2 linked regions of the Struthio camelus genome follow. The protein of the gene in region 2 interacts with the protein of the main gene of each other region in a biochemical or structural test. Links are inferred from orthologs where the notes say so. Each region holds a gene or a part of one and is shown on either strand. Other genes may lie near its edges.

The links.
Region 1: of the proteins of CDK9 (region 2) and CTDP1, one has a biochemical effect on the other in vitro, tested with the Homo sapiens proteins (3 studies listed by BioGRID). The link is inferred for Struthio camelus from reciprocal best matches to the Homo sapiens genes CDK9 and CTDP1.

The regions. Positions count from the first base shown.
Region 1 is NC_090943.1:93,998,625-94,002,367, forward strand, and holds the start of CTDP1 (RNA polymerase II subunit A C-terminal domain phosphatase), read left to right. Parts: upstream 1-928; 5' UTR 929-1,095; coding exon 1,096-1,445; intron 1,446-3,743. UniProt on the Homo sapiens protein: Processively dephosphorylates 'Ser-2' and 'Ser-5' of the heptad repeats YSPTSPS in the C-terminal domain of the largest RNA polymerase II subunit. This promotes the activity of RNA polymerase II.
Region 2 is NC_090961.1:7,658,265-7,662,007, reverse strand, and holds the start of CDK9 (cyclin-dependent kinase 9), read right to left. Parts: upstream 2,296-3,743; 5' UTR 2,219-2,295; coding exon 2,127-2,218; intron 1,091-2,126; coding exon 1,009-1,090; intron 1-1,008. Other genes in the region: SH2D3C (SH2 domain-containing protein 3C), read left to right, coding at 3,332-3,371. UniProt on the Homo sapiens protein: Protein kinase involved in the regulation of transcription.

The DNA.
Region 1 (3,743 bases), on a different chromosome or scaffold from region 2:
ACAGTTCAGCCCTTAGCTCTAGCCAGTCCTGCTGTGCTCCGGGAAAATAACTGGGACAAACGCCTGGCGCCGCCCCACAAGGGATATCCCGGTCCGGGTTTGCCGGTTCAGAAGCAGGCAGCACATGCTTGGACTTGAACGACTCCGAGCTCGGGTCTGCCGGCCTCCACCGGCTGCCTCCGTGCCGGTGCCGCCGCCCCGAGGATGCGGAACCGGGCCGCGGGCCAGAGGCCGGCTGCGCTTGCACGCGGGGTGCGACCCTTATGGTGGGCAGAGGCGCGCCCCCTTCCCTCCCTTCCCCTCCCCTCCCTCCCTCCACCCCGGCCGGCTCCGCGGTGAAGAGCGGCGAGGAGCCGCCGCGGGGCCGCTGTACCAGGCCGACACCCTGACCGGCAGCCCCAACCCCCGGCTTCCCGCCCCGCCAACGGCCGCTGACGGGAGGGAGACTACAATGCCCAGCATGCACCGTGCTCTCCCGGCCTCCCCCCCTTCCGGCAACTGCCTCCTGCTTCTGCGCGCTGGCCGGTGCGCGGAGCATGCTGGGGCCGGTAGGCCGCGCGCTGCATGTCGGGGGGCGTAGTTCGAGCGCCCTCTCCCGCGTAGCTTGCCCCACGCGCTGGGGCAGGTGAGGGCGCGCGCGGATCCGGAAATGTGTTTGAAGCGGGGGAGGGACTTAGAGCTCTCTCCTTCGCCGGAGCGGGAAGAAGTGGGCGAAAGTCCTCTTCTTCTTTTCTTTTCTTTGCCTGTTTATTTCACTAATTCTTTCCCCTCCCTTTCCTCTCCCTCCGCCCTTCCCGCGCCGTTTCCCTTCCCTCCCCGCCCGCGGGCGCCGCGGCGCGGCCCGTCCCGTCCCCCGCCGTGCCGCGCGGCGGCCCCTTTAAGGCCGGCCGGGCGCGCGGCGGCCTGCGCCTGCGTACCAGGGCCGTGACCCCGCAACCGTCGGCGCCGCTGGCGACTGTTGAGGGTCCCCCGCCTCCCTCTGCCCCTCCCCCTCCCCCGCCGGGCAGCGCGCGGCGCCCCGGCCCCCGTTACTGACCCGGCGGCGGCGGCCGTTGCCATAGCGACCCCCCCTCCCTCCGCTCGGCGGCCGGCACCATGGAGGCGCCGGCGGAGAGGGGCGGCGGCGGCGGGACCGCGGCGGAGGGCCCCGCGGGGGTGATCACGGAGATCCGGGCGCCGGGCCCGCGGCCGCTGCGCCTCTTGGAGTGGAAGGTGTCGGTGGGGGCGGCCGTGCAGATCGGGTCGCTGCTGGCGCTCTGCTCCCCCGTGCCGCCGGCCCCGCGGCCCGCCGGCCCCGCCGCCGCCGCCCCCCCCACCGCCGGCCCCGCCGGCAGCGGCGCCAGCACCCGGCCGCAGCGGGCCGGCCCGGAGCGCAAGCTGAAAGCGGAGCGGCCCGGGGTGGTGCGGGAGCTCTGCGCGCGGCCCGGACAGGTCATCGCGCCCGGGTGAGTGCGGGGGCCGCGCCGAGACCGGCGTGGGGGGGCGGGACGGACACGGGGGCCGCGGCGGCGGGCCGGAGGCGGGGGAGGCTGGAGGCGGGGACGGACGGGGGGACAGCGCCGAGCCCCGCGGCGGCGGCGGCGGCCAGCAGGTGCCTAGCTCGGCGCCGCGAGTGCCTGGGGCAGGCTGCCCTGAAACGCGGCTTTCGTGCTTTTTCCGTAAAAAGCCGAGATTTGTGCTCCCCTCCTTGCTCTGCCGGGTGCTGAGCTAAAGGATAAAGACCTTGTTTTGTGCCTATTAAAGCTGTTCGTTTATCCAAGGTAGTTGTAGTTGTTACCCTTTCCTGTAGTTACTGTCATAGTAGTAGTTGTTACTCTCCCTCGGCCCTTACACTGCAACGTGCTATTATACCATGTACAGTCAGTCGGGATCCTATGGGGGTGGGGTGGGGGAGAAGCCAACGTGGTATTCTTGATAGCTTCCAGTGATTACAGATGTTAGCTAGGTGATATTTAACAGCAGCTTTCGCCTGCGTTTAAGCCTTGCTTCCTCTTCATGATGATTGATGTGAATTGTAAAGCTTAGTCTGCTGAAAGTGTTTGATCTGAAGCCATGTAACTTCTTGCAAGAAAAGGTTTATCTTGTGCAGTTTTATGTTGAGTAACATGCGGAAAACAGTGGTGTAAGGGGGAGGCTGGGGAGGCGTGCAGGTGAAAGAAATCATTCCCTGTTTCATTGTTCCAGAACTCGGTACTTCACTGTGAACTTTATTTTCAGAGAACTGAGCCGTCATGTATTTCACAACTCTTTGAAAACGGCTCTTACTAACAAAACTATTTGTTATCGTATTATTCATTGAGATATCGTTCTCAGGTTTGGTAGTTTACTGTTTAGTTTGTGCAAAACTCAGCTACTGAAGGGATCGTTTACTGCTTAATAAGAATATTAATGGGAATCAGTGCTGCATCGGAAAAACATAAGTTACTAAATACGATGTATGTAATGCTGGCAGCCTAGATGCTGTTAATACTATAGATGTTTTAATGTATAAGGCCTCACAAATGCAAACTAGATGATCGGATTTGAATTTTCAAAAGAGCAAGGGGTTAAATGCCAGATATTTCCCATCGTTTAACAATGCCTTTGTCTTGATAAAATTGTATATTGGTTAACTTAATTTTAAACTCTTAAATGGCTAATAGTAAGATAGGGCCTCTCAGATTTCTATGTTAAATTGGGCTAATAGCTTGCTACGCTGCACTTCAAGCAGATTTTTTTTCTCAACAGGAAACCACTGAAACCCTCTACTTCCTCTGTTTTATGACAGCAAGTTATTTTCTTTTATTGCCCTTCTCTTGGTTCTTGGGTGGGTGCAGCCAGGCCTAAACTTTCTTGATTGAAAATCAGGAGTATATGCAAAACATCTGTGTACAGAGTCATTCTCAGAGGTTCAAGAAAAAGCATTGAAATTTTTAGCAGTCAGTAATATGAGATGATACAGAGAAGACAGAAGCCGTGTTTTCTCTCGCTGCTGAGAGCACTGTTTTTTTCTGTGGTAAGACCATGGCTTTCCATTTGTACTACATTCGTATTCAGCTCTTGCCACTGGTGCAAGGTGGACAGTCTTTTAATATCTGCTTTAGAACAAGGGTACCATGAATGCTAACTCAGACTAAAAGTATCTGAAAAATACACACTAAAGTTTTAAAACAGTGTATGTGTGATGAAGTTCATCTTGATAGTGCTTTGTGGAAGGGCTGATCAAATTGTCTTGTGTCATTGTGTTGACTAAGCACCTGGGGAAAAAACAAGCACAAGAAGACTTTAGATGGTGAATATAAACAGCTGAAAATTATGCTGGGATTAGCATAACAGCATTTTAGATTTAGCTTTGCTAAATGTAGACTTTTGGACTTGGATGCACCATTTTTTATGCAGTGCTTGTACTGGGTTTTTTCAAAATGGATTCACTTGATAATAGCTTGCTTTGAAACATTTAGAACACGCTATTGTTTTACTGTTGTGTTCGTGGCTTCCTAGCACGCTTGTGTCTTACACAGCAATAGTCAATACTAGGAAGCTAACTTTTAGCTAAACTTTACTTTTCTGTAGTGGTAATTACTGGGAACATGTAAAAGAAAAGTCCAAGTGAACAGATAGTGAAAGGATGTCCTGAGGGTAGTAGAGCTAGCTCAGTAGTTGGGTACAGAAGCGTAGCAGTTGCTTAGAGATTGCATGCAGTAGCTTATAAGTTTCCTTTGTGAGCAACTCTTGTATGTAGCTTGCCACTTTGTGGAATGGGA
Region 2 (3,743 bases):
CCTGCTTGAGCAGCACCCTGACACGTCATTTAAGGGCAAGCAGATCTTCAAAAGAGAAAGCCAACGCTGGGATTGTCATAATAATATTCCCCATTGCACCAGATCCTGTTCTCTGAACAGTGTTTCAGAGGGCTGATCCTGCTGGGTACAGCTGCTCTCAGCACCTGGAGGCCGCAGCACACCGAGTCCCTAGAGGACAGGGCTCTTCCTCTCCAGCCCTCGCATTACAAATGCCACAAGACAAAAAGACAGATACCTGCCTAAATGCTGTGTTTCAGGCCACCGTCACTGAGAGAAATTATGCCATGACACACGGGTTTTTGGGTGACGCCAGAGTGAAATCAGCATGCAGACACCCCTCCTCTCCTCACTTTGCGTTTCTGTAACGGGATGCTGCGTACAGCCCCACACGACCCACAGAGCGGCCTCCTTAGCCCGTGCTGCTTACTCGGTTAGTGCCTCCCTAGCCTGCCCCATCTCTCTGCACACTCTCAGCATGTGCTTTTTGCGTAGTCCCTAGTACAGCCGGGACAGTCAATACCTCAGGCAGTTCCTCCATGAACAACAGCCGACGCAAAAGCCCACGCATGCCGGGGGCGATCGGATTTCGTACAGATGTATGAATGCGCACAGAGGTGTCACCTCCCAGCAGCCGTTGGCAGCAGCTCAGTCACCCCACAGCTACTAGGCTGCACTGGGTGTCGCGCAGCTTTGCGGCCAACAAGGCGATAACAGGACCTACCCTTCAGAGGTAGGGCAGCCACGAGATGCAGCGTTATCACAACATCGGTATGAGAGGAAAACAGGCCACAGGGCTGAGATCCTGCCCACATCCTTAAGGGTTCAACATGTAGCACGTTACAGCAGTAAATATTGCAAAAGAAGTACAAATAGGTGGTAACATCCTACAGAGTGACAACACATCTCTGGCATCCCAAAGATCAGCCTTCACCTATGCGCTCTCCAGGCCTTTCCCAAATACAGCACAGCTGTGCTCCTCACACTTACCCCCTCCTTCTCATTTTCCATCAACACTTTCTTCAGTGCTACTTTCTTGCCTGTTTGACGATGTTTTGCTTTGAAAACTTCCCTGTAAAAGCAGAAGGAGATGTATGAGCAGCACAGCAAGAGAAGGAGCCAGGTGCTACCTACCAGGAACGAGACCAAACAAAACACTTTATAGCTTCACAGAGAGAGCTCTGTGCTGAGCCACCATCCAACCCAGCCAGGTGCCCTTCAGGCCAAAAGCCACTAAGACTGGCTGGGACGATGCAGAGCCCAGAGCAAGGGCACACACAGCTCCCACACCCCCCGGGAGAACAGTGGCTAAAGCGTCTCACATCCCCAGCCCAGTGGGAGAACGAGATGAATGTTGCAAGGACATTTTTCAGACTCCAGGCAATAGGAATCTCAGATGTTGTGGTAGAAAAATAAGGTGTGAGGCTGGACTCTCTCAAAAACTGCAGGAGGATGCTCAAAACATCACCACAGCAGAAGGAGGGAAGAGTCTCTGCTCCTCCCTGTCCTGAGCATCTCCAAAACCAACTCTTCTCTGCCACCAGCAGGCCTGGGACAGAGAGGGGACCTGGGGTGGGAGAAGGAGCTGGAGGAAGGGGGTTCAGGGGGGTGCACTGCTTCCCAGGAGCCAGAGAAGGGACAGGGGAAACGACACTCGAGCTAGGAGCACTCAGAGCCCAGGGGCACCTCAGCCGAGAGAGAGCAGGGGAAAGGCCCTGCCACCCAGAGCAATTGGGCTGCAGAGGGGAGCAGAGGCAGCAGCTCTGACCCCAGAACCGGGGAGGGAGGGGGGGAGGCTGCACAGCCCTGCGCGGGGCCAGGGGGAGAAGAATTGGGGGGGGGGGGGGAAGAGATGAGGCCCAGGGTGAGGAGGAGAGCAGGGGACAGGCCGGGAGAAGAGAGCCGGTCCGGGGGGGGGGGGGCTGGTCCCAAGGGGACTAAAGCGCCAGTCCTAACGTGGGGGAGGGGAGGCGAAGAGGCCGGTCCCGGGGGGCGGGGAAGGGGCCGCGGCCGGGACCCGCAGGCCCGAGGCTGACGCCGGCGCGGAGCAGGCGAACAGGCCGCGAAGAGGAAGGCAGGACCCGGCGTCGGAGGGCGGCGGCGCTCACCCGAAGGTGCCCTGCCCGATCTTGGCCAGCTTCTCGTACTTGGACACCTCGTCGCAGAAGGGGCACTCCACCATGTCGTACTGCTTGGCCATGCCGGCCGCCCCGCTCCGCTCCGCTCCCCTCCCGCTTCCGCTTCCGGTCTGCCGGAGGCCACGCCCCTTCCGCCCGCCGCCGCCGCGCGGGCCTCTGGGACTTGTAGTCCGCTGGGGGCGGCCATGTTGGCGGCGAGGCCTAGCAGCCGCCTCCTTCCCTAGAGAGTCACACCCAAGCAGCCCAGCCCTGCCCAGCCCAGCCCACTGCGGGGCTTCTCCCTCACAGCGCTCGGCCGCTTCCCCTCCCATCACGTCTCCCCGAAGACGGGGGCCATGCTGCTGACAAAGTCGCGGGCGCGTGCGGGGCACCCTGGCCCCGGGGGCGGCGGCGGCAGCGGATCGCCCTCGTCCTCCCTGCGGGTGTTTTCCAGCGGGTGGTTTTGCGTCAGCCTGGCCTGACGCGCCGAAGACACCCAGCCGTTGCCTGACGCGCCGAAGACACCCAGCCGTTGCCAGCGTCCTTATCCCTCGCCGAAGGGCCGTCCTTCCCCCCGGCCTCAGCACGCGGCGGGGCTCACGATCCCTCTGCCCGGGGCGATGCCCTGGGTCGGGGGCCGAACACGTTATCCCAGGGTTATTTAAAACGGCTGCCGAAGGCGGAGAGGCGCAACAGGAAGCATCCGGGCCGGACGGCAGCGGAGACGCAGAGATGGCTCCCGGCGTGCCGCGCGGCAGGATCCGCGTGCCGCCTCCTGGAGAGAGGCGGAAAGCCGGGACAAGGCTCCCTGCCAGGCCGGGGGCCGCCCTGCCCTGCGCGGAAAAAGGCTGCGCGTCCCCGGCGGGGGCACCCGAAGGTCCCCCAGGCCGGGGTGGGGGGGGACGGGAACGGGGACTGCCGCTGGCGGCGACGCCGCTGACGCCGGCCACCAGCCGGGGGGGACCGGGCGAGGGCAGGGGCTGCGCTCTGCCCCCGCGGGGCCGGCGTCCTCGCCCGGGGGCTTTTTTGGGCGGCCGCGTGGGGGCCGGGAGCGGGCGACGGCGGGCGGGCGGGCGGGCGGGAGGAAGCGCGGAGCGAGCGCGAGGCGGAGGGGGCAGGAAGGGAGGAGCGGGGCAAGGAAGGGCTTGAAGTTTATAAACTTATCCCTGCCGGTCCCCGCCGCCACCGCCGCCGCCATGGCCGAGAGCCAGAAACGAGGGGGCTTCAAGAAATTCAGTAAGCGGCGGTGGGGAGGAGCGGCGGGGTTGCTCGCCTGGGCGGCCCGGCAGGGGCAGGGGACGCGGGCGAGGACGTGGCTCCCGCGGGCTCTGCTTTCGTTCGGGCTCGGGGTGGGGGTGAGAAGATTTGGGGGATTTCGCCCTCGCCACGGTGGAGGGCGACCCCAAGGGCTGCTCGCCCAGCAACGGGGTGCTGGGACGGGGACCAGCCCGCCACCGGCCAGCCCCGCACCGGGACGCGGTGGGGGCGAGCCGGGCGCCGGTCCCCCATGCCGCCGGGGGTTTTCCCTCTGCAGATCGCGTCTCCCTGGGAATATTTCCCGCCGGGAGCAGGGGTGCGGGTGCGCCGGCCGGAGGGGGAGAGCAGACG